Linked DNA regions of Alligator mississippiensis. The protein of the gene in region 1 interacts with the protein of each later gene in a pairwise test. Links are inferred from orthologs where the notes say so. Each region holds a gene or a part of one and is shown in the gene's direction. Other genes may lie near its edges. The genes, in order: glutathione S-transferase A4 and C1H2orf50.

Region 1 (11,134 bases):
AAAGGGCCTGGTGCCATATCCCAGAGCACACATTAAAAATGCCTATATAGCTAGCTCCAGCCTGGCCCTCTGCTGCTCAGTTGACTTGCCACTCAGCCCCCTCTCACCACCAGCAAACCCTGCTACAGGGGGATTCTTACCTTTCAGTCCTCCAGGCTCCTGCTGGCCTGAACCAAACTTGAGCTAGCACTAACACCCATCAACGTTTGTGTGGCTCACACTGTAATGTGTAACAAGGCCCTTAGCTTAATCTTTAATAGTTGGGTAAAATAAGACATTAGGGCACAAATGTCATCTCAGTCCTTTGAACTGCTTAGGGGGCATCATCTACAGAAAAAATTAGATCAGCAAGCTCACAGTGTTATGGTCAAGGATCTTGTGTTTTTTTCTGATTTAAAAAAATCCCCTATTTTTAGTTTTAAAAAAGTAACCTAAAATCCACATTTTTCCATGATTAAAATGAAAGACCTCCATATATAATATTTTAGATCACTCTCTCTCTCTCTAATATTATGGAACTTGAGAGCTCTGTATTTTAAAACTTCAATTTCCATGCACCTTTTCAATTATTTTTATCTTTAAAATGCAACCAGCTTGGGCAGTATTTTGGAATGAATAATGATTATGCCTCATGAATAATGATTATGCCTCAGGAGCTTTCTCATTTCCATGTTTATCATTTATATGCTTCTATCTCATGTTTAAATCTTATTTACACTCCCAGAATGGGAACAAAGATAGGGCATTTAGTATCATTTTGTTCCAGTGAAATTAATAGCAATAATAAGTCCATGAAGAGTGGTGGTTCACAGCTAGGCTCTTAAAGTCCCATTGTATCTTATTAAATTTGTACCTCATTTCTTGTATCTGCTTAACAGATACAAAGATTGCAGGTGGTGACTTGTCTTTCAGTGTAATGCAACAGCATTTTTTCATGCAATTCAAGGGTAAAAACATCCTTTGCCTGAAATGGTTATACAGAAATGCCATTCTTGCAGGGATTTTCTCATTTGGCTAAACTCCGGGCCTTGTAAATTAAAAAGGATAAGAACCACCTCAGTACATTGGGAGCAGCCGTTTGGAAAACTTAAACAGTCCCTACTAAGGTTAAATTAAAAGCTGGTCATTCAGGTGTTGGTCAAATCAATTGATTTTTACTCACTCATGTAACTTCCCCCTCCCACCCCATCCTCACTTTAGTCCTTTAAATGGCTTTGTGCTGTGTTCTGTCTCTTTAGATGTTTAAAGCAAGAATAAGCAACATGCCCAGAATAAAGAAATTTCTGGAACCTGGAAGCCAAAGGAAACCTATCCCAGATGATAAATATGTGGAGACTGTGAGAAGAGTTCTCCAAATGTATTATAATGTAAAAGCGAGTGTGTAGCTGGTTCAAAAAGCAATGAGAAGCTCAATGCTAGCAAATACTTTCTCTCAAACTCTGTAAGAGAGAAATCTATTAAACTACAGAGATAGTTGCACTGTCCTTGACTGACTAGCTAGTTGAACTGTATCTGACAGCATTGTATGTAACATGCGAGAATTAGTCAAAACTCTCAATTACTAACAGTTTACTGAATATAACCTTTGTTAAATTTCTCTTCCTGTTCTGGGTGCAATGAGCACATGCATGCAGAGTCCATCATCCCCCTCCTTCATCCCAAGGAAACTTAGAAGTTTTTTACCAGCCCAAAGATGTTCTATCAACAAACACCCAGGGTTTGCAATGAAATACAGATAGAGGTCTCAATTGTAAGCTTAAACTTAATATTTTAAGGGTGAATTTAATCATGGGGAAAAATGAGAATAGTTCTAAGAGCCAGAAAGGCAATCCTAGACCTTCCAACCTTTGTGGGACACCAGCATATCAGCTGAAATGATATCAAGTCACGATATTAGCAACACATTTTCTTCCTCTTAATAAACCTTAGTTTAAGATGTGTGAGCTAACATTGCATGAGTGTATCTGTTAATTTTTTTTTTTCTGTGTAATCATTCAATAATTGGAAAGACATTTTTCTAACCAAAAAAAATTCTTTGATTCTTATGTGGTGGTAATGTCTTGAATTTGTTGATCAAAGCTGTCTTGCAGCCTACACATGGAGGCTGCCTTTCTCTTCAGACTGAAAACAGTTTTTGAATTAAGTGAATTTAAGAGCTTAGATAATAAACTGTCCCTACCAGCTCTGGCAAAACAAATTACACGTGTTTCCTAAAGCGAGCCTACTAAGTCTAGGTTGAAACCAAATCTAATTCTGCTGCTACTCTCCCAAAAACAAGGCTTTAGAATAGGAACAGAAGCTAACGTGCATGTCTTGCTCCAAAACGCGTGGTGTTTTCACTCTGGTTTTGCCAAAAAAAAAAAAAGAAGCCAGAGAACAACTTCAAGTATTGCTATAAACTCTCAAGCCAGGTAAAATATACTTATGCTTTGAAAGACTGCTTTTTATGTTGGTATCATGGGGTTCTATATTTGTAACTGTGTCTAAGTATCCTCAGTTCACAAATAAGCCTCCTTTCCACCCGCCTCTCCACCCCACATTGTTCATCTTGTCTAACAGCTGTGGATTAGGAAAAGATGTGCTGCTGTGAAGAAGAGGTGTTTTTCCCTGGCAGTGATACTGGGAGCAAGTACCCTTCCTGTACAGTGCTGGTCAGCATTTAAATAACCTGTTCTCACTAACATGATGGAAGTGTTTTGACTTCATCTTCAAGAGGAGGTGGTTTGGACTCCTCTACCTTGGCTCACTGCTGCCATCTATCTAATACTGGTTGTAACTTCAATTTGGGAAGGGTCTCTTTCTTTTTTTCACTTCTCTTAATAAAAATTTGAACAGCCTGGTATGTCATTTTTTCTCAATTTCTCTGTAGGCTGAACTTTCTCTCTTGTGTATGCAGTTCCTCAGACAGGTGGTTTTGCAGTTTGATGCTGATCTAACCTATCTTCCCAAGACTGGAGTTCCAGGAAATCTAGGAAGATTGACTTGTGTCCTTAGAACTGGAATATTCTGGGATACTTCACCAAATGCCCAAGGTCTGCTGCTGCCTCAGTGGCTCACAGGTTGTCTTTTAGCAATATTTATGAAAAATATTCATGGGAGAATGCAGATTATCATCTGAAAGAAATAAATGTGTTCTGCTGAGAGAAGGGGAGTTGTATACGTGAGGTGTACAGTTTCCTGTCCCCGGCCTTAATCCCCTCCCATGGATGTTTTTCAGGCCTTGAACACATGATCACTTGTAGTGCTACAAAAAGAGTGCTATTTTGTGGTGGATCTGCCTTCTATGTAGTGCTGCAGACAGTGTGAATGTATGCACACTAGCTTTCTGTAGTGCTGTAAGATCATGTATAGTGCTATAAATGTAATATGTGCCCAAGGCTTCAGGACTGAATACGCAGCATCTATTTTGTGTTGCTGTGTTGCCTGTCACAGATGGAGAGGAACAGGAGCTTTTGGAATAATTCTGGGGGATGCAGGAGGAAATGTTGTTGAACTACCATCCCTGAGACCACAGACCATCTGTGCCAACTTCACAGGTGCAGAAAGAAGCTGATGTGTAGGATCATTTGTCGGCTTGGGAATAATGATGAGACAGCAGTACTGTTTCTTTGAGCCACAAGGCTTTTCTGAATACTGCTGTACTTCAGTTTCGTTTTATTCTCCTTTGCAGTCCTAACTGAGCTCACCTGTCCTAAGTATCATTCCAAGGAAAGTTTGCAGGGTCACTCTCCACAAGTTTCAGCCTCCTTGGCTAGGGAATCTTCAGAGTGTAGTGGAAGAGGAGGTGGGGGCAGAGGGGCAAGATGGGAACTGCAGAGCTAGCATTCCCCACTGCAGTGCTGTTCCCACGCAGGCCTGCCAGCTTCTAGTCCCCTCCATTTGGAAGGACCAGTTGATAAAACCCACAATATTTAAATCTAACCTTTTACATAGCCAAGGAGGAGAGCAAGTCCGAAGGTCACTGCTGTTTACAAGTTCTCTAATACCTAATAACTGACCAAAAGCTGACATATGAATCATACTCTAGTGCAGCTCTTTTGTGGTAATTATTAATGGACTTTAGGTAGCCTTGATGATTTTATGACTGTAAAATGAATATATTGCAGTCCTTAGTTTCTGCAACTTTCTAAAGCAAAAGGAAACTTGGCTGGGAGGATGGTCAGTGAAGTACATAGGAGAAAACTGCAAACACATTCAAGTACCTCCAGCTTTCCCTTCAGCAGACTGCAGTGTCTCTCAACACGTTGTCCAATGAGCTACTTTCAGTAAAGTCCTTCTGGTGACAGAAATCTTAGCTTCACTTCTTGTCTCCAGAAGTCCAGAAGTACTCAAATGTTATATGTACTGCTGTGATGCCCCTTGCCAGAAGAAATAGGAGATTGCTGAAATTTTTAGCCGTACTGACTAATCATTTATGTAGCTTGACTCAGGTTCATCAGAACCAATTTAAGAGTAAGTACTAATAAGCATGAGTAATGAGTGTGGATTTGAATACTAAGTAACACGTCTGGGTGCAAACATGATTCTGCTAAGAGCATGCAGTTTGCTTTTTGTTCTTAAGACCACAATCATTCAAATTATTAAGAACTTCCACATGCTAATAGTACTGGCTCATTATAGGCACAAAAGGGACATCTTGCTTCTGCTAACCATAGGGACGCTGTAATAAAAATGCATAACGTCTCATAGGTTGGTAGGCCTCAGGCCCAAGGGACTTTAGTCAAGAGTGTGCCAAAACGTAGTGAAAAATAAGCTTGTCAAAGTAGAGTTTTTGTTGAGGGGGAATAGCCCAAGAGCGGCATGATCCTGTGCAAAAATGACTACATCGGGTTATTTGGAAACAGTGGTGCTTGCAGTGCTTGTGGACAGTCCATTCCTGCTAGTGAGCTGGTCATGAGGGCACAAGCCAACATCTATCATCTGAAGTGTTTTACGTGCTCTACCTGCCGGAATGGCCTGGTCCTAGGAGACCGGTATCACTATATCAATGGCGGTTTATTTTGTGAACATGATAAACCTACAGCTCTTATCAATGGCCATTTGAATTCACTTCAGAGCAATCCACTACTGCCAGACCAGAAGGTCTGCTAAAAGGTCATAGTAATGCAGCATGCGTTCCTTCATCTCAAATTTTGTTCATCACAGATGGATCCCATGTCTCCAGTAGATAAGTCACCTTTGTAGCTAGCATCAATGCCAGCTCCATGCCATTGTACCTTCCTACTATGAAATGTCAGGTCTGGTATTTATGGGCGTGGTATTCTTCCACACCAAACACCATTACCTGAAGCGGGTCATTGATTTGCTGGTATCTAATGGCCAAACCTCCCCCCCACAACAAAAATCCAGATAGCAGGTAAGCTGGTGTTAGGGTTATGGCGGCATTCCCTACTACTAGTTTATCTTGCATAGTTTCTATTATTCATAATTTACAGAGCCCTTTCATAAGAAGCACCTACTACAGTTTGTGAACAATAGATATTACAAGAAGCTTTGCCTTGTGCAAATGCGCGCACACACCCACACACACACACAACTCCCCTAATCTACCCTTTAGCCTCCATGGCCGCATCCACACGAGCAAGCATGTATCTGTTTCAGCATCTCAAACAAATTTTCAATGACACAGGAGGCATGCCACAAACGAAAAAATGTTCCCCATACTGCAACTATGCAGCATAGACTCTGATACCAGTATCAAAAGAAAACACACCAGAAAAAAAGCGGTGCAGGGAGCACTCCTACAGCATGCCTCGAAGCAACTGGAGGTTAGGTCCACCAAAGAGGCATTCTAGCACCTGTAGAGAGCATCTCTATGCCTGCTGCATGCCCCTGCTGCTCCAGCACTGGAGGAAATGGAAGCAGGGCATGGTTGGCAGCAGTGGCTCAGAGCTGGCTGAGATCCACGCTCTGTCCCCAGTAATCAAGGACATGGGGGAACTGTGTGTGGATATAGGGGGACTGTAAAGGTAAGGGGGACTGTGTGGGAGGGGTCCCCCACCTACCCCCCCCCCATGGCACACAGCCTCTACCAGCAGCAGCAGCCAACAGCAGGCCCTTGGGGTCCTCATGGTGTGCTGCCTGCAAAGCCCCCCAGTGACATGCAGCACCACCTGAGACCTGGGGGCTACACATGGAGCTGATCTGACACACACCTTCAAACAACATCTGGTCGGCTCCTGCTGCCAACCAGGGACACCATCAGGAGGCTCTGCCTGCAGCAGGCTATAAGCACCCCGAAAGCCCACTATTGCTGCTGCTGCTGGCAACAGGGGTTGTATGCCATGGGGAGGGGGGTTTACAGATGTGTGGCAGACGCTCTCCACAAACCCTACACTCACCCCCCCCCCCACAATACAACCACAAACCCCCCACCTACAAACCAACCCCCTAACCCCCTTCGGAAGGTAATTTGGCATCAATGCCATAGAACAAGATAACATAGCTCCCTTGAACCAGAGAATTGGTAATACACAACCAAAGAATTAACACCTGCTTCAATGTTGTGCTCAGAAGAGAGGAACTAAAAACTCAAAGGTAAGAAATCTCATATTTTTCATAAGTATCCCTTGTGAAAACAGCTGTCACATCCAGAATATCATTTTACATGGTAACACAGAGACAAGGAAATATCCTTGCAGTCAAACAGAAGCCAAAGCACTGAATTAATTCTTGAATAAAAATGGAAACCCCTCTTCTGTATATGGTATGACTGGAGACTCCTCCCACGGAGAGCAGGTTCCAAAGTCTCATTATTTGAGACAGGTTTCCTTGTTTAAAAAAAGTAAGATCTGGTGCACAGCAAGGACTTGCAGGTTAGTCTTGCAACCCAAAGAAAGCAGATTTCTTTTAATCCCCAGCTGTTTGAAGTTTCTTTTTAGGGAGATTAATAAGAGCATAGTTACTAGAGCTAACATAACTTCTTCCCAGTTTGATAGGTGTTGGGAAACAGTCCGCAGGGAACACAAGTCTGCTGGTAGGGAGCAAAAGGACAGTGGAAGGAGTGAGTGGGTAAAAGTGGGTTGAAACGACAGATGGAATTGACTGAGCTCGAGAGTTCACTGAGAGAACAGGTAGGTGTAGTGGCCAGATCAAAATATGTTGGACCCTTTCCCCGAGGTTAGTACAAGGATAAAGTTTGTATTGGTCCCCCAAAAAAATGTTTCTCATCATTCTGATGACCAGTTTGATGTTTAAAAGTTCATTTTACTAAGGCTTATAAAAAAGTGACTGCACATCCTGGGACTGCAATCTGAGTGCTTATGCATGGTACAGCGTGTTAGCAGGGGTTGCTGAAAAACAAACAGGTAGAGGTGGGTCCAGGTCAGACCTCAGGTACAGTCACCCCTCAAAATTATTTTGGTGGTGGAGGTGAACCTCTCTAGATATGGCAGCATAAGCTGATTCTTTACGCTGGTTCCTGGCAACAGTAAAAATCTTTCAGTGGAAAATCCCACAATAATTTGGTTTTCAGAACAGAATATGTAGAATCTGTGCTTTGCTGTGGTCAAACTGAATAGTGTATGGCAAGTCTTTGTTCTATTTAGAGTTATTTCCAAGAAATGTTTTGGCTCTTTTTATTTATTTCTGTGGACAGTTCTTAGGTTTTAAGTTCTTTTGGGCAAGTACCTTCTCATGTTTTTAAAGCACTTCAGCCTGCCATTGCTACAGTAAAAGAATATATTTTAATAATAGTAGTTGCAACTTGACATAGATATAAACGCAGTGGCCAGTTAATAATAAAAATATAAATAATGTCATTGGAGATCCCTGTTCGTGAAGACAAATTCTCAAAGTTCAATGACTTCATAGCACACGTAGGATCCATCTCTAAAATAATACTCTCAACTTGTAAGTGTGACTAGCACAATATTGTTTTGTTCCCTGTTTGCTTATAATAGTATAAAAGAGGCACTTCCCCCCCTTTTTTTAATATAAGGGTAACTAGAGTTGCAGAGTCTGATCATCCTGAAAGCAGGAGCTGAGAAGAAAAACAAAAGAAGTCATTAAAGTGTTAGGGTGGGGAATTATACAACTTCTGCCTTCTGGTCATTTCTTTAGCTCCCATAATACACACACAGGGCAGAATCCAGTTCAGTGAATTTGAACAATACCCTATCAATTGCAGATCAGCTGACTACCTATTGTAGCCTGTAGTAAAAATGTTACTTTAAATGTGGATTTCCCTGCCTTCACCACTCCCTCAAGCTTTTTCTCCTTTTGTTTTTTTCCCCAGGCAATCAGAACCTCACTCATGGCTGGGAAACCAAAGCTTTATTATTTCAATGGAAGGGGACGAATGGAATCAGTCCGATGGCTGCTGGCAGCTGCTGGGATTGAGGTTGGGTCTTCAGTCCTAAAGAAAACAAATGGCTTCAGACAGAATGTCTGGCTGAATTTATTCCAGAATTTTATTTATTTATTACAGAAAAAGAGCTCTGAGTCTTATGACTATAGAAGACAGGGTAGAAGACACTTCAATTTCTGCTTTGAACACAAGCAGGACTTTTTTTAATGGTCAAATTTAAGTAAATACAGTTACAAAAGTTTAAAACTATAAGCTGAACTGTGTTGTGCCTTTGCATGTCACCTATAGAATTAATGGCAGTTCACACACAAATATAGGAAAGATAGTTGTTGCGGAGTTTAAATTGAGAAAAAGTCATTTTAAAATTGGGTAAAATTTTACCCAAATCTACATTTCTAAAAATGTAGAAATAGATTTTATTTGTTGTTATTAAATATACTGCTTACTGACAGTATATTTAATACTGGATTCCTTCTGTAATTTGGAGTTGGATACTTCAGCAAAACATTTCATATAGCTGCTGTGGTTTGCTCAGAGACTCCCTCTGACACCAGAGAGCAAAAGCTCTTTTTTAGTGCAATTTTATTAGGAAGAATTGAAGGTTTTATAGAGCAGGTGAGAGGTGAACGCTATATTTCTAGAGCTTAAGTTTGGAAACAGAGGCACAAAGAACTCAATAGTTTTGACTAAGAAAAATCTGAAATGGTTTATCATCCCCAGTTGTTTTAAAAATATGCAGCTTCCGCTATCGTAATAGAGCTGAAGGTCTTATCAATGTGTTTATGATTCATGTAGTACCAGCCAGGCATAAGAACTGAGTGTAAGGCTTTTTAAATTTTCTTTCCCTAATCAGAAAGTCATTATCTTGACTTTTGTGTATTTAGCTCATAGCTTAGAAACAGAGGACTGGAACAGAATTGAGCCACTGAGTCCAGTCTTTTGCTGACATAGGCTACCATATTATATAATTCCATTCCAGGGATGGCAAGCTGGTCAATTAACCAGTCAAATATTGTCAGTTGACTGGTCAATCAAGTGCATTTTTGACCAGTCAAAGATTACAGCAATTTTACAAATAAACTACATTTTTTGTAGTTTTCTTGACAGAAATGTGATATTTTATTGTTTTTGACACATTTCTTAATCGAAAATTTGTGCTTTTCCCGTGTATTACTTGGATCTATTGGCAATTTTTTTACAATTTTTGACTGATATTTGACTAGTCACCATTTACTATTACTGCAATGTTTTGTGAGGCTCTACTTAGAATAAAAAATTATAAGGGAAGTTTGACCTGATGAAGATTTGTCAGATATTCTAAACAATACTCCTTTTCACTGTGTACTTCTTCTTGGTGGTCCAGGCCACAAAGCTAGGGAGAGTCAGGGTGACTTCCTTACTTGTCTCATTTGTGAACTGGTGACATGAGGTTTTCTATTTTAACCCTGACCCATAATTCCCAACACATTGTATGTAACCTACCTTTCTATGTTCTTCCATTCCCAGTTTGTAGAAGAGTTTCTGGAAACAAGAGAACAGTATGAAAAGCTACTGCAGGGTAAGGCTACAGTGACTTGGCCAGTTTTCTTTATTTTAGGATTGCTGTAAGTGTATTATATTAGCAAGGTATGTCTAATATTGGTGGACCTAGGATAGCCTATGTCTTGTTCCCAGCTCCTGTAGAGGATAGAAGGGAGGGAGGGATGCAGAGATCAGCAGTTGGAAAGGGAGCATTTGCATTCTGGATACTTCTGGATGTATCATTCTCCTGGGACTAAGTCAACAAGCAGGGTAAGAGCACCCTCATTTAGAACAATCAAGACTTCTTGTAGAAACTAGGTGTGTCTACACGAGATGCTAAACACACAGTAGCGTGCTGGGCAAAAACCCATGCTGATACACTACTACGCAGTAGTATTAGGCTTCTGCACAGTAAGCATCACTAAAAACCTGTGTGCCAGCACTACTGCACAGTAGTGCAAATTATTGTGCATTGATTTAGTACTTGCTTAACCAAGTACTAAACTTAATGCACTGTGTGGCAGTGCACTGGGGGTGCCTGCCACTTGCAACCAGTGGGTTGCGTACGGGGGGTATAGACCCCGGCCCCAGGAAGGGGGCGGTGATAGGTGCAACCAGAGGGTTGCGTGTGGGGTGCATAGACCCCGAGCCCCATTAAGCGGGGAGGTGTGTGGCACTGCACTGTGTGTGCCTGCCACTTGCAACCAGTGGGTTGCGTAGCCCCGGTGTGAGGGGGCGGTAGTGTGAGAGGCCCCAGTGTGAAGGGGGCCAGCGACGAGGAGCCCGAGAGGGGCCGTATATCGAGCCCGGTAGAAGGCCAGCACAACGATAGGCCTCGAGAGGGCAGGGTCCTGCGGTGGTCAGCCCGAAGGGGAGAGTACCCTCAACTGGCCCATGCTGGGGCCAGGACCAGAGAGGGTCAAAAGGGCCAGGGGCCCACCGCAAGGGACGCCCAAGAGCCGGAGGGCTGGGGTCCCGACTGGCCTTGAGGTGGGCCAGGGCAAGAGGCCAAAGGTTCCGGGGGAACCGCACCCGAGAGGGGAACATGGCTTCGGGAGGGCGAGGTAGCCCGGATGACGGCGGAGAGGCCACCTGATAGGAAGGATCAGAGAGGGGTCCTTTTAGGACGACTCTGGGGCCCAGTATGGAGCCGGTGATAGTGTTAACACTGAGATGCCTTCTGCGAGGCTTGGGCTGCGGTATTAGGGGAGGTCGGAGCCGCAGAGCGCCCCTGGCATCGGGGCATTACAATGGGCAGCCTCCCGCTTAATTGACATCGATATACGAATCAATTATCATCAAAGG
Region 2 (11,520 bases), about 19 Mb from region 1:
TAGCTGTCACCAGATTTGCCTGTCACTTCCGGCTGCGCTCATTTATTAGGGATACATTTCTAGGGTCTTTGTAATTCTACAACATGCTGCTTGTGTTACTTGTGTTTCTGTATGGAGCTGTATCTCTCCCTTCTGCAAGTCCTCACCCCCAATGGAGCTATCTTGCAGGACTCAGTTTCAATGGGGCTGGGTTCCTCCAGTCACCAAATCAGTCATAGACACAAACACACAGATTAATGTGACATGCCTGACCCGGCTGGGTTGATCAACATGGACAGGCTGACACCCTCATATGCCAGGAATCAGTTCATTAAGGTAACAATAAAATGCAGTCAGACACAAGCACCCAGGTAAACAGAATACCTCTGAATCCAGCTGGGTGTCTATCTGACACCCTCATGGGCCAGCATTCAATTCATAAGGGCACGTCTGAGCCAAACTGGGTCAATCAGCCTGTTCAAGCTGAACCCTTATGTGTTTCAAACTCAGCACATCCCAATCTTTTGCCCTAGCTGTCCTAGTAGTGGTAGCCTCTTGAGCAGACCCCACAGTATTTCTGGGCATCACAGGGATCTTTAGCTTAGGTAAAAGAAGTGTTGCTGCAGAGCAAGTGGGGAAGGAAAGTAGAAGGAAAAATATACCCAGTTACAGCCAGTTTGACTATAAACAGTTATTTATTGCTGCCTATATGAAATGTATAATGGTACTAGTAATAATAGACATGCAAAGGAAAACTATCAAAACAATTATAATACTACCCTGGTTTCACTAAGTATTTGGGGAAACTTAGCTCAAGCTTAACTAATACAATTCAGGTTCAGAAATCTATGCCTAGAGAGAAGAAGAGAAAACAGAGAGAGAGCGAGAACTAGGGTCTCACCAGTCCAAGGCACTCTGGTTCCAATGCTGACAGGTAAAGTTCTTAGCACAATCCTTGAAGGGAAACAATCCGTTTCTTCCAGCTTCTCAAGAACAACAGTGAACGGTGTCAGAGAGATTTCTTCTCTTGAAGCTCACAGGTTGCTGTTTTTACAGATTTTTATACCCTCAGTTCAGCTGCTTCAAAGTATTCTTTTAATTGTGTAAATAATTGTCTTTTCTATTGACAAGGGATTATCTGGTTTGGAACATCTCAAGAAACTGATCAATAAGCAGGAAAAACATAAGTTTTTAAGAAGTAACCAGACACTTAGGAGCCAGCTTGAAATTCTTATGGATAGCAGATATACTGGATGGGATACCTCCTTGTTTCTTCAGAAACAATAGATAGCTGTCAGGGTTTTGTATTTTTACCTGTTGTGAATAAGCCTCAGCTTAGCATGACTTTTCCAGATCTTACTGTAGTCTTTTAACAGACTTAAGGGGATTATTGGAGTGTTCATAAACTTTGTGGGGAGGACTTCCACCAGTCATCCCGGGAAAAATATAACAGCATTTGTGGTCAGGACTCCAATGGTCTGGACACTGTGATAAACCTTTACCATTGTTCAAATGTTGCCCATACCCTCTCTGACTTGGTCTCCTGCCTCAGCATTCCTTAACCTGGCAACCAAGTTTTAGTCAATCAAGTTTAAATAGGCCTCCCATAGTGGGACTGAGGAATGTACGGCCCGAGATGCCTATTAAACTTTACTTCTGCTTAGTTCTGGTTAGATGGTGGGGGAGAAAAAGTCCATTGTAAATCCAGCAAGCTGGGTGCCAGGGCTCCCTCAGGAACACAGAGCTGACAGGTGACACAGCTCATAGTTTTGATTTGATTTGTTTTGACTATAGAAACATAACTGAGCAATATTTCTTTTGCAAAGAACTCAGACCACAACTGGTCAGAGTGTTTTAACACTGTGCTATTTGAAATGGATTTCCTATTTAGATTCCTATAGATTCCTATTCTATAGCACCCTGATTGGGAATCACTGATCTAGAAAAACACTAGAGATAATTGAGTTGGTCTAATAAAAGATATCAGATTTACCCAAAGAACCTTGTCTGCCTAGAGATAATTGAGAATGTACCTGTTTTTTATGATTGTTTTTTTCCAGTGGAAAACATTTATCAATTGAAACCAGGGTTTTTCACACACATGTATGTTCTAGTTTCAGCAGAAAAATTTCTCAAATTTTAATCCTTTAGAGTTCTACAGTCCTAAAATGGAAGTAACTCTACCTTTCTGTCCAGCCCAAATAACCTGGTGGGAAGACGGACTCTCTGGGAAGATGAGAGGTATGAGGGTCACAGGAACTTTCTATGTGAGATCTGTGAGTCCTTACAGTTCTGATATATTCCTCTCCATAGTGTTAGTTTGGGGGGTTGTCCACCTGCAGCAACCCAGAAAACCTTGTCCATGGATGGTCATAGCTCATACCCATGCTCTGTAATTTCTGTTCTTATTAGGTCAAAGGTACTCCTGATCCTAGCAGACCTTAGGACTAAGGCTGACAAATTTCTGTCCCCAGTGGCTCATAAGAAAGTCATGTGGCTAGCATGTCTAGCCACTTCTGACTTCTCAGCCCAAATGACTAAGGTTGAATGAGAAGTCAGTCCTATGAAAGGGAAGGGAAGGGAGGGTTTGCTTTAGTACCCCCTAGCTTCTAGCCTGAGCCACTGCAGGCATGTGCCTGCATTTCCTGAATACAAAGTGAATGTCTAACCACTTGCAAATCAGTTCAATCTATCCAGGTTAGACTAACCTGCAAAGATTGAATCAATTCAGGTTCAGGCTTTTTGAATGTATGTACTTAGCCTTGGGATGTCAAATAAGAGTCTCACCAACTTTGACACAGCTCAGCCTGAACACAAGGATCCAGCACTGCAGTTCTGTATACAGGATCAGAACCTTAGGTTGGAAAGAATTTTTTTTAACTCCATATGCCAGTACCTTCTGACTTTTCACAAAGTGGACTTCATAATAATCTTCATTCCTTCCCTACACCCATAGTCCAAAATCTGTACTGATATTATTTTCCTTCTAGAGTAGAAAAATTAAATGATTTTTTGTATTTTTCAAGTGATTTCCATTAAATATTTTAAAAAATGATGCTTTCTAATTAGTAAGTTCTTACTCTTCCTATAAAATCAGTGCAGGTTCCCTCTTCTCATTCCATCACCATTAGAGGATGAAGGTCCCAGTGACAAATTCACCAACCAAAATGATCTCTATGAAATGCAGATCAGAAATTGCTGCTGGATCAATAAAGCAGATGCTGATTTAAAAAATATATTTCTTCTCACTACTATGTAGTTTAAATGATCATTTTGGAGAAACTTATGTACTAGAAGTAAGACAATGCATGTTACAGTTCATCGGTTTAAGTTCTGCATAACTTAAACGACAATACCCTCTTGTGGTCAAGTTAAAATTACCTGTAGGGAAAAAAATTTTTTTTTTCTTTAGGGAAACAGCAGTTTACATACATTTGATTTTTCCAGTAATATTTCACTGTTCAAATCACCACTTGTTGGATAACTATTAATAAAGAACATAATGTAAAATCTTCCTAGGAATTAATTATACTGCCAGTATCTAGATACAGGACTGCTGAAGGAACCACATGCAACAGACCCCTGAGTCATTTATAAAAATCTCCCCCCTTCCCCAGCCAAAAATACATAGGCACATTAAAATCAGGTCACATTAAAATTCCTAGCACATCAAGCCCCAGCAAACATCAATATAACCCTATAAAGAATGCCATAAAAAGAAACACATGCTATATCAGTCAGTCATCTCCTTCTACAGGAATGTCCACTGCTTAGCAATCATAAACATTACAAAGGCACGTAATAACTGGGAGAAAATAGGGCACTATTTGCAAGTATACCTTTAAGACATCATTTTTGTTAAATGGCACTACTGAATGATTTGGGCATGCAGCAAGAAATTTCAGAACAATATCCAAAACAGGATGCTGAAAATTCACCCTGCTACATATTAATGGTATATAGCTACTTCCTTTTATGACTTCCAAGCCCTGTTCTCCCAGTCCTATACACTGGGCACATCTACATGAGAAGCTGACTGCTCAGTAGCCTGATACTACTGCGCAGTAGCATCATGTAGCAAAAACCGTGCCGAGACACTACTGTGCAGCAGTATTAGGCTACTGCCCATTAGCATCTCTTGTGCAGTAACTCCGGGTACTGTACATTCATTTAGTACTTGCTTATACAAGTACTAAATGAATGCACGGTAACTACTGTGCAGTAGTGTCTCATGCAGACATGCCCACTGCAGTGGCGACGCATAGAGGGTGCACAGGGGTGCATGTGCACCCCCTGAGAGCACCGGTGCACCCCCTGACTGGCCATGCTCACTGCTTAGGCAATAGGCGGGGGGGGCAGGCTGGAGCGCCGGTGCCTTGCTGCAAGATCTGATTGATCACTGCAGCTGCTCCCAGAAGTGGCCACAGCGATCTCCCATGGCCCACTGTGTCCTGAGAAGCAGCATGAATGCTGTAAAACATCTACCCTTCCATGTATAGTCCTGCTCTGCACTGGAGTAAAATTGCAGTCTACTGTTTAAGCCTACTAAGATCTACCTTCTCTTCTCAGTTACTGGGGTCATAATACTACAGACCTTCCTTTGACTTCCGGTTTCTCTTTAGTAACAGGATTCCACAAGGTGCAGAGTTTGAGCATGTGAATCTGTGCAGGATGCCACTTAAATGGGATTCCACAGGTACAGAAGTTTGCATAAGTTTACCCAGATTTGAGACTAGAGTCGCACTTCCACGGAGCACAGCCAAAGGCTGCCTGCTGATATAGAATTAGCAAGGGTTACAGTTTAACAATAACTCCCCCTATGAGTACCATATTGACTTGCATGCTATACACACTATTTCCCCTCAAAATGGGGTGCATATCTTAAGTGGGAAAGCTGATTTTCTGCTCAGAACAGAAGTACCCTGATTTGCTTCCTGCTTCACCTGGCAGCAGCGGTGGCATTTCTGTTCAGGCAGCTCAGGGAGTCAACTGGCTCTGCATCCTACAGGCGTTAATGATTGTCTCTTCTTTTTAATGGTCTTCATGTTTCCCTAATCAAGCTAACCTTTCTTCAGGCAATTTTGCTGTCTTTTAGCTACTCCTGGTCTCTCTTCTTCTGTTTCACAGCCTTGCAGACTGTTTTGATCTCTTTTCAATATCACAGATGTACCCATGGGAACTAGTCTTCAGCAGTAGCTAGGGTTTCAGCTTTGGTTATTCAGGAAATGGAGGGTCAGTGATTTGAAGTTTAGACTCTGTCCCTGGTCTATGGAGCCATAACTCTGAAAAACAAATCTTTTTTTTCTTTATCCTACTGTCATCAAAACAAGATGCATGTCTTATTTGGGGGAGTGCGCTATGCAAAAAAATACAGGGTTGGGTTTTTTTGGGTTTGGGGGTTTTTTTTACTTATTATTAACTCACTGAAGAAATGAGGGTGAAAAAGTCTCGAATGAAGACCAGCTAGCGGCTGACAAACCAGCACTGGGAGAATACATAGGAGTGGCACAAAAATTATACTGAGTTGTCTGAGACTCTATTCTAATATTTCAAATGGAAGTCAATGGTGGTCTGCTAGTGAAACCAAAAAAAAAAGAAAAACTTATTTGGGGTCAACCACAAACCCTTCTTTTTTTGGCTTTTCCCAGGAAAGACAAAGTTGCCAACCAACCCTAAACTTAATTTGACCTGAAATGAAATATTTTGTTTTGCTTTCAGTTTTTTAACCTTTTAAAAAAATTAATCTTTTTGCAAGTTTCAAAACAAGAACATTTAGAAATTAAAAAATCATTTTTTTTAAGTGAAACAATCTGACTTTCTGAAATTGTTCATTTTTTTAACACCATTCACTGAATTAATATTTGTGTATACCATGAGCCCCCCCTTATTTTTCATCCAGTGAAACTATTCACTAGGGGAAATATACAGCGAATTCTTTACCAGGCAAATAAGGCAGGAGGCAGTTGTATGCTTCCAGCTTCCAGTTAAGTGTATTAGCCACAGCATGTCCAGGGACTTTTAGCAGCCACTGTCCTATTTTCTCAAAAAGCTATAAGAAAGTAATATCAGTTCTCCAGAACAGATTATTGATTGTCCAGGGCTGCTACTCAGTTGTTTTCTTTCTTCAGCCTAAAATTAAGAGGCTTTCAAAAGTGTAAAACTAAGGCTGATTCACAGAAGGACCTTATCTTAAAGCAGATTAGGAGTATTGAAGCTGTGATGATCCAGAAAATATTCGAGAAGGGGTTTCTTGGGTAATATCTTTTATTGGACTAGTTAGGAGAGATATTAGAAAAGCATTTAGACACAAAGTGAACTTTCTCAGGTCTGGAAAAGAAGTCCTTGCTTATTTTAAAGAAAAGGCAACTCTGTCTTAAGAAGAGTAGCACAGAGTCAAGATCCCAATAGCTGCTTCCATTAGTTTCTACTCCCTTATCAGTGAATATTCATGAGCAAGCCTGGTTTCCAATGGCAACAGTAAACACACTGGGGAAACCAGCAGTCATCAGGGGGTTTATTTCTGCTGCACAAACAGAACAAAAACCTAAGCCTGACAAACTCAACATCATTCTCTACAGCAGACTTTGCTGCTAGCTCAGCACCTATCCTGGGGACTGGGAAAGCAACATGGAGCGTGGTCTCAACTGCACCCAACGCTGACTGGTCTCTCAAGCTGAGCATTAGGATTTGCTGTTTACAGCCAGGATTTTTATTCTTCTAACAAGTGTTCTTTGCAAAGTTCTTGCTATAGTGAAGCTACTAGTAGAAAGTGCTGCTTAACCAAAGGGGAAATAAAAATAGTACACAGTCACAGTTGGAGCTGTGCTTTTACTTGCCAAGGGTGAGAGGAGAGAAAGCAGCAGGGTGGATGAATCTGGCAAGCATCTCCTCTTAACCTACCTAGTGGTGACACCATCTTACGTGAGAGTAGATACACACACAATGGGGAGCAGATCACCTGGATTCAGAAACACCTCAGCTGGGTACCAGTTATCAGCAACCAAATCATTGGTGGAACTGGCCTCATCCTCATCCTCATCTCCTGCTTTCAGCAGCACCCAGCTTGGAAGAGCTGTTACAGCCACCAAGGCAGCCCGGGCCCGGGAGGAAGAACAAGTAGCCCTGCGGCAGGACCAGGTTCGACAGGACAAAATTTGGAGGGAGTTTGTGGAGGCCGAATGGAGGGGAAGAAAGTGTTGGTAAGTACTTTGAGTCCAACATCACATTCTCCTCTTAACAGTGCTACTGCAGCTCCCCACAGACCAAGGGCCTAATGCAAAGCTCGATATATCAATGGAAAGACTTGCACTACATAGGCTTTTATGAGGCTGTGAATCCAGCTGCTGCTAAGACCACATTTCTCCTCTGTTTTCTTCATTTTTCAAAAACACACAAGTAAAGTATCTCCTGGCATGTCAGGCTGGAGCTGTAATGGAGGTGCAAAGGGACAGCATGCTGGATACTACTCAGCTTTACGTGGAGGTCCACAGAGCCAGGATATGTCGTGACGCATTTGTAATTTATCACAGAGAGTGATATTATTGCATGTCCTCTACTACTTGGAAATGGCTGAAATGGAGCCTGGACAGACTGTCCTGCCAAAAATTACTGTATTTCAAATCCGTAAATCTCTTGCATGCCACAAACCCACATGCAAACATACACACAGGGAAAATCCCATTGTTACGAATACATCAGCAGGGTGTTCAGCACATGCAGGTCATAAACTATGCTTTGACAGGCGGTATACACTGCTGAGTTGAAAGAACCAAGCATTAAGATGCCTCTCAGAATATCTGAATTCAAATCTCTGATGTGCAACATAAACAGGCTGGTTACAAGAATGTCCGTTGTGAAACCAAGATTGGCTTGAGTTGTAATTGTATGCCAGCCTTACCCAGCTACCAGGGAGGAAGGAGAGGAGAAGGCGCTCAGATGGATTCAATAGGAATGAGGAAATACATCTTCTGGTAACTTATCTTACTCCTCAGCTTCTTGGAGTAAGTAAAAACCATGTCAGTATTTCTTTTTTCAGTGACATACTTTTAATTTTTTTGTTATCTCTCCTAGAGGCAGAGCTGAAAGAAATATCACCAGCTGTTCCAGATCCACACCCCCCACCTTCTACATACATATACATGTGTGCACTCATGTACACACACACACAGAACACTTAGGATAAGAGAAGTCCTTTGCCTGCTAGTGGCCTGACAAGAAAACCAGACTGCAAGTGAATGGGTTAAATTGCAGAGGCCCAAGCTTTTCTCTATTGCTAGTACCTCTGGATACAGATATTGTATATATGCCCAGAGCAGTGGAGACCCATAGTTGGGGCCTCTCTCAGTACAGGAATGCAAATACATATCATTATCATTGCTATTATAGTAACTATCATTGTTATTTTATCAATGCCATAATAGCACTTTCCCTCCATAGCTGTTGTAGCACCTTACAGAAAGGTAAACTTTCACTGTCTCCATTTTCAAGATGCAGAAACTCCACACAGTCTGTAAAGGGATGTGCCCAGAGTTATATGGCAAGTTGGTAATGGAGCCAGGGAACAGAATCCGTTTCTTGATTCTCAGTACTAGGCTTGTATCTCTACTGCTGGCTGCATAAAACATTGTTGCAGGTAGTTGCCCTTACTTGCTCATACAGCTTGGTCTAGATCTATATTAGGGGCTTCTGCCAACATAGCTGGGTTGGCCCACACCAAGGAACCCAGGCCAGAAAGACTTCCTGGATCATGGAAACCAGTCCCCAAGTACAGAAACAGGAGCAGAGACCAGGTTCCCGGCCTTCTGCTACTTCAGCTGAGTGGCCAAGCTACTTGGCTACAGAATCATGCTCCAAGAGAACATAAACCTGATAGCTGTGCTGGCAATAACCCCTAGTTACTGTGTAGGCATAGTAATACCACCAATATTACACTTGTACCAGCGTGGCTTTTTCACTTTAGAGAGGATGCTTGGGGGGAGGGGCTGGGCAGGGGAGAGGCAGGTAGAAGAGGAAACACGGTCATAAATTTCAGGGCTTTATTGTAGTGTTTCCAACAACTCTTGCAATGGGATTTTTATCACAAATCTGAAAACCTGGCCCTGACTCAGCATCAGGTAATGTCTATCAAGAGGACACATCAGCACATTGCCTGGCATCACACAAATGCAGCTCTACTGCTTCTGATGCAGGCGGCAACTGTCCCTTAAAAGACCAAATTCCCTCGTCTGCCATGCTGTATTAAGGCATCTACACTAGCTGGCACCAGAAGTGGCAAAGTCTAGTTTCATTGCCTGTCTGTAGAGCATCCAGGACAGTGTCCCATATTTTGCTTCCACAATGTTGCTCACTTCAGATGAGCATGGTATAAGAACTTGAATGATTAGCTTGCAATTAAGTTGAATACAAATTCAAAATCGGATTCATTCTAAGATGAAATTGTAGTTTGGTTCTAAAAAAAGAAGTCTGATTTTATTATAATGGTCAGGTCCTGTGGCTTAGGTAAAAGAACCTGGCATTATGAGAGAAGACAGAGGGAGAGAGAGAGGGGAGGAAACAGCCTCCAAAATATGATCTATACTAAAGGCAAAGACACTATCATCATTATCTATTTCTGTGGAATGAACAGTGTTTCCTCATAACATACAAGTAGAAACTCTTCTTTTTATTATTCAATACACGTACTGTCTCTTACTATGCATTTGTACACTGTGACTGGGGTCTTCCATTAATGCACCCTTCTTTTCAGTAGGACACACACAGGAATGGCAAGCATTTATAGTTAAAAAACTAGCCAATTCTGACACTGCATCTACTCAATTCTCTTTTAGAAAGAAAAAACAAAAAGTAATGGATTGTTTAAAATAAAACTGCAACCAAAAAAGAACAGCGATTCTGTGATACAGCATTCAGTTGATTTACAAAAATAGAACATAAAAAATAAAGTACCTAATAGGATCATGTCACTAAAGTAAAAATCTTGGGTTCTATTTCTAGGTATCAAAATTGGAGTTTCCTGAAGGACTATGACCCATTGGTAAGTTAGAGATAAACTACTAACTGTAACACAAGTTCTCTTTTGGTTTGTAACAGTTTGAAGTAGGCTAGCTTTTTTAATTGAAACACCCTCGAATATAATTTGTCAACTGCTTTAAGATTAAGAGCTGGGAGTAAATATGAGATGTGAAGTGCCAGTCATCTGCTATATTTGTACTAAACAGATTAAATGCAACGTGTGGGTTCTAGTTCTCTTTTAAATAATTAACAAAGCCCATAAGTGGGTAAGCATTTAAAAGGAAGCTGAAACATATAAAAAAAGAGAAAAAATCACTGCCACAATATGGCCACATTCTCTTTTGACTGATAGCCTGTGAAATGCTGAAGTCAATGAATTTTCCTGGAAAGTCTTGCTCCCATGAAAGTCAATGGTAAAAAAATAACACTGATTTCAAATGGGGACTGTAAGTCCTGACTGCAAACAGAATTGTGTATTTTAAGGGGAAGGGGGTGGGGTGGGGAAGGGGGAGGTATTTTTACAAAAGTGCATCCCAATTATTTTGGTCCCAGTCCTTCAGCCCTTCTTACTCCTCACTGGAATAATTGAAACCTCCTTACTGAAGTAATTGGGAAACTGCCTACGTAAAGTCACAGGACTACCCGCCTTTATACTTTAAAATAACGAATGACAACACAATTAACCAGTGGACAATTCAATGAGACAGTTTGAAACTGCCTTCTGATGAAAGCTGTGCATAAAATGCTGGGTACTCAATTTAATATTTAGAAAAACTGTCCTCTCTTTGCTCTGTTGGAGATCATTGTTTGGGATTTTTATTCCTTTCAACAGTAAATACGGGTCAGTCTTCTCAGAAGATGATTGGATTCTCCTTGATTTCAATTAATGATAATTAATTGTACTGCATCTACACAGCATGTTCACATACATTTAGTGAATAAGACATAGGAGAAAATTTCCAAAATTCTTAATAACTTTTCCAAAGTGATTTGGGCACTGCAAAGCTGAAGTCTCTTTTGAAAATGGAAGATACATGTTTTTGAAAACATAATCTGTAACACTCTTTTTATTTATGTTACCTAGGGCAAGAAAAAGGAGCAGAAACCACTGCCAAAATTTGTTTCTGTGTTTTCCGAAACAATCCCCAACACCACCAACCAGGCTATCGGCAGCAGAATGAACACTGAATTGGGCAGGATGCTAGTGAACATGGATTACTTCATCAACAGTGGAGGACGAAAGAAGAAACTTGAAAATGAGCTTCAGCCTTGTTAGTGGTAGAAAGAAAATGCCACCAACATTTTTTTGCAAGAATCCATATTAAGGAATGTAGTAGGTGGAGTAATAATGCATCAAATGTTTCCCAGAAAGACTGGTATCATTGCTCCACATGACATTTTTTCAAGAGTAAAAATGAACCTTGTTCCTGAAAGCCTTTTGAGGAAGTCCTGTTTTCACTTTGGGGGAGAGGTCAAAGCAGATAAACATATGTATTATTAATACTACAGGGCCCAATCTTGTTTCTATCA

Evidence for each region.
Region 2: the proteins of glutathione S-transferase A4 (region 1) and C1H2orf50 interact in binary tests that used the Homo sapiens proteins (3 or more experiments, as listed by UniProt). The two-hybrid records come from large-scale screens. The link is inferred for Alligator mississippiensis from reciprocal best matches to the Homo sapiens genes GSTA4 and CIMIP5.

What each region holds. Positions count from the first base shown.
Region 1 is NC_081824.1:47,973,513-47,984,646, reverse strand, and holds the start of glutathione S-transferase A4, read left to right. Parts: upstream 1-6,841; 5' UTR 6,842-7,034; coding exon 7,035-7,073; intron 7,074-8,236; coding exon 8,237-8,341; intron 8,342-9,814; coding exon 9,815-9,866; intron 9,867-11,134. Other genes in the region: glutathione S-transferase 3, read left to right, coding at 1,239-1,385. UniProt on the Homo sapiens protein: Conjugation of reduced glutathione to a wide number of exogenous and endogenous hydrophobic electrophiles. This isozyme has a high catalytic efficiency with 4-hydroxyalkenals such as 4-hydroxynonenal (4-HNE).
Region 2 is NC_081824.1:28,979,590-28,991,109, reverse strand, and holds C1H2orf50 (uncharacterized protein C2orf50 homolog), read left to right. Parts: upstream 1-6,488; 5' UTR 6,489-6,921; coding exon 6,922-7,178; intron 7,179-9,972; coding exon 9,973-10,012; intron 10,013-11,074; coding exon 11,075-11,266; 3' UTR 11,267-11,428; downstream 11,429-11,520.